Linked DNA regions of Schizosaccharomyces pombe. The protein of the gene in region 2 interacts with the protein of the main gene of each other region in a biochemical or structural test. Each region holds a gene or a part of one and is shown on either strand. Other genes may lie near its edges.

The links. The genes of interacting proteins can lie anywhere in the genome.
Region 1: the proteins of mis13 (region 2) and csm1 form a complex in vitro, tested with the Schizosaccharomyces pombe proteins (2 studies listed by BioGRID, with this or other methods).

What each region holds. Positions count from the first base shown.
Region 1 is NC_003424.3:5,283,953-5,287,709, reverse strand, and holds csm1 (microtubule-site clamp monopolin complex subunit Csm1/Pcs1), read right to left. Parts: upstream 1,601-3,757; 5' UTR 1,581-1,600; coding exon 1,529-1,580; exon of another isoform or gene 1,490-1,528; coding exon 1,148-1,489; intron 1,102-1,147; coding exon 889-1,101; exon of another isoform or gene 834-888; coding exon 655-833; 3' UTR 420-654; downstream 1-419. Other genes in the region: ubiquitin-conjugating enzyme Ubc13, read left to right, coding at 12-96, 154-326; Munc family exocytic/endocytic regulator Ync13, read left to right, coding at 2,011-2,093, 2,140-3,757. UniProt on the Schizosaccharomyces pombe protein: The monopolin-like pcs1/mde4 complex is essential for accurate chromosome segregation during mitosis and meiosis II. May clamp together microtubule binding sites on the same kinetochore, preventing merotelic attachment of microtubules.
Region 2 is NC_003423.3:1,153,976-1,157,732, forward strand, and holds mis13 (MIS12/MIND complex Mis13/Dsn1), read right to left. Parts: upstream 1,647-3,757; 5' UTR 1,627-1,646; coding exon 637-1,626; 3' UTR 329-636; downstream 1-328. Other genes in the region: ade7 (phosphoribosylaminoimidazolesuccinocarboxamide synthase), read left to right, coding at 3,143-3,757. UniProt on the Schizosaccharomyces pombe protein: Acts as a component of the NMS (Ndc80-MIND-Spc7) super complex which has a role in kinetochore function during late meiotic prophase and throughout the mitotic cell cycle.

The sequences.
Region 1 (3,757 bases), on a different chromosome or scaffold from region 2:
ACAACTATTAGATGCCTCCCAATGTTCGTTTTCTTACTAAAATTTATCATCCAAACGTTGATAAATTAGGTCGCATATGTTTATCTACGTTAAAAAGTATGTTAAACTTCACACGTTTCATCTTATTTTGGTGTACTAACATTAATAAATCAGAGGATTGGAGTCCTGCTTTACAAATTCGAACCGTGCTACTTTCGATACAGGCATTAATGGGTGCTCCCAACCCAGATGACCCTTTAGACAATGATGTTGCAAAGATTTGGAAAGAAAATGAGCCACAGGCAATTGCAAATGCCCGTGAATGGACGAAAAAGTATGCAGTTTGATTACTTATGATAGTCCAATGCTTATGGTTATCACTAGAATAATAATATATTACGATATCAATAGCTTTCTATATACAGTCTTTGATTTGAATTCTACCCATTTCCTTAAGTTTTTTGCATTCAATTTTTTCCTAAGCGGTTAAGGTCTTTTCGAATAAAAGATGTAAAAATTAATAATAGATAATTATGGTAGCAGAATACAAACATCGCAGCTTTTGACGGACGATGAAAAAAGTGATATCTCGACGAGCACAATTAATTTAAGATATAGTGCTATTCATATAACAAGGAAGTATTAAAGTTTAAGCAAAATCCATAGTTATTATTGTTAATCTTGCAAAGCTTTCATTAATCTAGCAGAAAATAATTTTCCTTGTTCTTTCGTAAAGATAATTTCCTCCAACAAATAGTCTGGTAAATGTTTCATAAGCTCCTCATCAGTTTGAACATTCAGACGTGGAGTAAATGTAAAGTTTTGATCATCTAACAAGAGCTGATATTCGAGTGCTATAATAATATCCTGTTAGCTTGAAATTATTTCTAAATCCCTTAAAGCACTTACTCCCTCTCCTTCCAGTGTTTTTACAGTTGAAACGATATCCATCCTCGTCCTCTATACAGTCTGCAACTTCTAATCCGAAAAGCTCCTTTATAAGTATATTAATTTTTGAATAGTTTTTTATTTGCTCTCGAGTTTTCAATAACTCATTCTTTAACGAATGGTTAGCTTTCTTTTCATTTTCTAGTTCTTTTTTTAAATCTTTGACTATTGTGTCTTCTTGAATGTAAGTAAAAAATTCAGAAATAGGCCTTAGTCTTACCATCAGCGTCAGCGCCAGCATTGGTAACAGGTTTTGCCAAATCTTCAAGTAAATAAAATTCTTGTAGTTCATTAATTTTTCGTATCAGCTTGTTCAGTTCATTGAATTCCTGCTCTTGGGTGTGCGAAAGAGTAGATAACTCTACGTTAGGGAGTTGCAACTTCTTATTCAACTCTGACATCCCGGAATTATTGATATGAAGTTCATTTTCGTTCTCCCTTACACTATATGCATCTTGATCTTCATTATTAACAAAATCCTGAGTTGAATGCATTTGTCCTTGAGAGATGCGTGTACGCTGTTTTGGTAATTTATGAATAAGCTTGGACGATTTTCCTTTAGCTTTGATATGTCAGCTTAATCTACACAGAATAAATATACCTTGTTCTTTTAGTTCACTATCTTTAGATGTTTGCATATTATTTTTTCTCATACTTTGTGGTGGATAGTGTTAACATTAATAATTGATCCTGGTGTGCAAATACATTAAATAAATCTAAAATATATCATAATAACTGTTTTATATTTCTTTCAATATAGTCCTTGAAGCCACTTTATTTTGACCGTCTTAGACGGTGGATTCTTTGGATTAAGCAGAAATTATGCAGTTAGCTTGATTCCAAATACAAGTTGCATTATTGCCTACTAATTTAATATTTTTAACAGATGAGCTACCAAGTCTTTCATAGTAAAATCATGTTTCTTTAATTCTTCTCTGTCATAGATTTCCGATTACACCTCCGCCTATCTCACCATATTTCTCCCACTCAATACATTCTCTAGGCTATTATATATCCTTCGATCCTGTTGCTTAACCTGCAAAGAAACTAAATTAAATATCTTCATTTTATTTTCTAAATGGGATGAATTGTAGACGAAAACCTCTTCCTTTACACTCGAACGAAGTTCAAGCTGCAGAGTCTATAAGTAAAGATGAGCTCTATAGGTTTGTTATTTCATTACTTTTCATTTTAATTAACCAACGTATTTAGCTGGACTTTAAAGAATGTGTTAATCCTGTTCTTAGTACAGTATCGTGCATCTACCCCTTCAGCTCTGCAGACATCATCATTTAGTACACCAGTTGAGAAAAAGACCAATGGGGCATTTTCTGGTAGTCTATTTTCTGCCAAAGAAAAAAAAGATAATCCAAAATATCCCAAGGATTTTATAAAATATTTATCGCTTGCCCTTGAGAGTATTAGTATGGGAAAAGAGCCAGAATATCAAGATCAGTTGATCAGAGGATGTTTCGCAGCATTTTACAATAACATAAACAAATCTCATATATCTAAGCAATTAAAAGACTCGAGGAAAATTGAGGATATGTTTTTGATTTTTGCCAGCTCTGTTTCATCTGAACTTACTAAACGTTTGGGAACAGCTTACGATTCAAATTTAGCAGACAGAATTACTGCTTCCTTTATTGAGTTATGCAAAAGAGTCACGCTTAAAGGCCAATTGGCTTCCCCATCATCTGAATTTGTATCCCATCTTGACATGTATCACTCAAAGCTTCTCAACAAAAGTGAAATACTGAGTACAAAACGCGTTAATAGAGGACAAGATCAATTTGACCTTTCATCTTTTCCTTTGTTAAAAGTTTTTTCGTCAGTATTCAAGGTTGCTTATTCAAAAGCATTGTTGGATGCTGAAAAATTATTTCCCTCAATAGATGAGGCCGCCATAGCTGAAGATATTGGCATTTTAATTGAGGATTTAGAAAGTGATGCTTGTAAATTTTCGCATTCGGTGGTCGATTTTTCTAATTATAAATCATACTCCACTTGGAAAGCTCGTGAACTTCAAACACTAGAACAACATCGTAAAATCATGTTAAGTTTGATTCCTCTTTCTTCATCACCAAATCACCCTATTCAACCGATTGGTTTTCCTGCCAGTAGAAAAACGCCGACATACGTGCCGCCAATAGCGCGGCCTTACTTTCGGCAACTTCTATCGCTATGTCTTGAATACAGATTACAAGTTACAGATCCTGTTGAAGTCAAGCAAATAAACACATTTATAAGGGAGTGCTCCATTTACTGGAGAATATTGCCATCCACTCGCTGTGCTTTGAGTATGGATTTTGCACGCGAACATTTACAAAAAGGGTTGATAACTTCAGCAGACGTTTTGACACATTTCGGTGAGCTTCATAAGTCACTCAAAGAATGGGAGATAACATATTGGCCAAAGATCGATGTTTCAATTTTTAGTTCTGCATTGTTTGGAATCAGAAATGCATTAGCTCAACTTTTAAAGAAATCACTTTTAGATTTGTTGCACGAAAAAAAGGCTGATTTTCATCGTTGGTTAAATATAATGAGCATATGTGTTGAAGATGGTAAGGTGATCAATCAAGATTTGTCTCCGAAAAGTGAGATCTCTTCTGTTGCATTGGCTCTCCAAGAGCATTGTAAAGTAATATTTGATGAGGAATTTGATCTTTCGAAATTACCCTCTTCTAATTTTCTTGACGAAATCATATTAGCCAGTAACAGGATATCTGTACGAATTAAATTCTTGGAAAGGAATTGTTCCGAATGTATTTACGGAGTTTTGTCACTTCCACAAATCTTTATAAATATTGTTCTTCCTAATTACATA
Region 2 (3,757 bases):
AAAATTTTTTAAAATTCTTTAGCTCATGTCCCCACAGTTTCAGTTTGGGTTTGGGATTTCTTGAATTTGTCTCCAATATTGGTGCACCGTTGCGTTTGAGAAGCTGCCTTAATATTTAAATAATGTCCAAGCTTCATAGAAATCGTGGTTTTTTTTTAATTTCATGTATGCGGTTTTGTGTTTGAAAGTTTTACGTTACTATTATGACGGAATTTACCACGTGTATTCTGGTTATCATAAAGCTATTGTTAATTACACGTTACATGTTTCGAAACCTGCGACGATGTCTGCTCTCGCTTTTTAAAATTTAATTATAGAATATAGACTTTAGAGATAAAGCTATTTATTTCTCAAATATTTCAAATTAATTAACTATGAAACCTTTGATAAATTCTAAATATTGGGTGAATAGTAGCAGTTATGTATCGTACATTGAGTGTAGATAGTAATGTGAGTGCGCGCTACTACTATAGGAGTTCCTTTGAAATAACGTATAACATGAATTTTCAAACACAGTCCAGCTGGTTTGCACACCTTCATTATTAGTTAATTAGCAGCAATGGCACGCAAAAAGACATAAAATTAACGTAAAAATAAGTAAAAATTTGGGCATAACAGTATCAGATTAATCCAATTTTAAACTGATTCGTTTGAGGAAGATTTATAGGAAGCTTCTGATAAAAGCCTTAATAAATTCATAGTATCCACATATTTGGAGAAGGACAACAAACTTTTACGATGGGCTATGAAATCCTGGGCAGCAAGGCGACCATATGATGATCGGACTTCAGGTCCAGCGTTAGTCAAAGAATGCAAGGTATGAATATTTTCAGCAAGCATGTCCAGGAGAGTGTGGAATTTTGGTTTCAGCTTACTTATATTAGGAAGTTCTGGTGCATCATCTGGGGGTAATGGAGAGTCCTGTTTATCAAGGTCTTGTTTAGAATCTATGGATTCTACAGCTTTTTTAAAAGATAAAATTGATTTATCTGAACTGACGGAATTAGCAGCAACAGCCCGCCATGCAGCTTCTTCATTATGGAGTTGGGTAAGCTTTGCCGACAGTTCGTCCACTAGCTGAGCATTTTTGAGATTTTGAGGATGAGGTTTATTAGGAATTACAGCATCAGGTGGTCTTTGATACCAACTAACACTAACTTTATTAGCCAATAATTCGTTAAGAACTTCTTGAACTATTGATCTAGCAATAGCTGCCTCACTGGCTTCCTCCGTTTCACCGTATTTTTTTCTTTGCTCTTCTAAGGCCTTTGAAGAAGCCCAAAGGAGAAGTTGTTTGATACGTAAAGGTTCGGATAAGTCTTTGGATATATGGCGATAGTATTCATGCGATGGAACATCTGCATGTGGTAAAGCTTCAAATCCAGTACCAATGCTACTAGCACGCTTACCCCGTTGGTCAAGACTACTCCTTCTTCCTTTACCCTTGCGAAGTTCTTTGTTTCGCTTCACAATTGGTGTATCAGACACGGGTAGCTCAACTAACCCATCGGTTTGGGAGGTATCTGGATCATCCTCCACAGATGATTTCCTTCTTTTAGAACCAGCTTTTTCTTTACCCTTCCTAACGAATACAAATCCTTCCTGCTCTTCAGGCTTTCGTTTCATAATGGATGCTGGTTAGGGTCAAGTCGAGTCAGGATTGCAAAGACTACCTTACTCATTGTTTACACTAGGTAACCTAACAAAGTATAGCGAGCGCGTTATAAGTCGGCCTTACAATTGAGCATTGAAAATTCATCAAAGCAAAGTATATTCATGTAGAGAATAAATAAAAAAATAAATAATGATTAAATTCTTTTTTACTGTTAAGTATTCCTTTCTTTTTGGAGATACACTTGTTACAACTTGGTATAAAATATTTGTTTAATTGCTAGATTATCTTCGAACTTGCAAAAACAAAAATATATATCCTTTTTTCTGCTGTAAAATAATAAGAATAATAATTTTAACATAATCCATTGAATGGTTGGTTAATTCCCCTTATAAATTCATAAGACCTCTTCTTATACTATATCAAGTTTACTGTTTATGTAATATATATATATATATATATATATAATTGAGGAATGCGACATGAAATGCTAAGCTGAAAAGTTATGCAAATTACAAAATGTGGATATTATTACCATTAAAACTGTTTACAGTTTTTGACAAATAGTCAAGATGTCCATGAGCTGCCAGGATTGAGCTTGTACTTTATCATAATTGTTGAAAAATATAGCGACGATAAATAAGATGAATAATCAAATATAAGTATAATGAAAAATATTCGAGTATTCTATATGTACAAAATCTAAATTGTAGTAATTTTCAGACTTAGCTGGTTATTGTTGATTTTAAATCGCTGCATATTATTTACAGAAAGTACCCAATTTTAGATTACATGGCTTTGCAGACAAGCCAGAACTTTAAGGATCCAGTATAGTTTTAAGAATTAAAAGTTTGAATTATCCTACTCTTAAAACACTTCCTATATAAAGTTGTTTCAAAATATTCTGCAGTCAAAAAGGCAACAGTAGTCGGTGTTTAAAGCTCTTTTTAACTTAAGTGAAGTAATAGTTTTCTTATTATAATTATTAATTTATTTGTTTTATTTATTTTAATTAAACATGGAATTTATAACCACAGCATGTCCTGTACAACTTACTTTTCGAGCACTTACTTAGGTTGCCATCATCCTCAAATACGAATTTATTTCGGAATTTTTAAATTCTTTATAATTGAAAAGAATCTTTACTGATTATCTGTTCTTAATCTGTCTCAGTGTATTGCCAAGATCTACGACGATCTGTCTCATCTCTCTTGTATCTTTCCTTTCTACTACATCGAAAGTTAGAGTTAACTGGATTCATTGAAACCAGGGTTTTTTGGAGCCAATTCTAAGTGGTATGTTATGTAATAGTATCCTTTTTGATAATTGTAATTGCTTTTGTTTCTCTGAAATTTTTAATCGATGTTCTATGTTATACTATATAGACCTCATACAGAAGAAGCATATTAAAACGAAATGAAAAGAGATCACACGGATTTTCTTTAAATACTTTGTTATTTTTATACCAAAAGCTAATTGTCTTCAAGTGGAATAGTTTAAACCTTCATTTCTACATCAAGTTCATTTCAAATGGCATTATTAAAAACTTCGTTGGATGCTCCATTCACTAAAATTGCTACCGGCAAAGTCAGAGACCTGTATGAGTGTGTAGAATTTCCCGATGATCTTTTGTTCGTAGCAACAGACAGAATAAGCGCCTATGATTTTATCATGGAGAACGGCATCCCTGAGAAGGGAAAGGTTTTGACAAAAATTTCAGAATTTTGGTTTGATGTTTTAAAACCTCATGTCCAAACTCATTTGATTACTTCTAGGTGGGAAGAATTACCTCCTGTTATCACGAAGCATGAAGAGTTAAAGGATAGATCCATGCTCGTTAAGAAATACAAGATTCTTCCTATCGAAGCTATTGTTCGTGGCTATATCACTGGAAGTGCTTGGAAGGAATATCAAAAGCAAGGGACTGTTCATGGCCTTAACGTACCTACAGGAATGAAAGAGGCAGAGGCCTTCCCTGAACCCCTTTTCACCCCCAGCACCAAAGCTGCCGAAGGCCATGATGAAAACATTCATCCTGATGAAGTCAGTAAAATTGTTGGACCTGAATTAGCCAAACAAGTTGCTGAGACTTCTGTAAAGCTTTACAAAATAGCCCGTGATGTTGCATTAAAGAAGGGAATCATC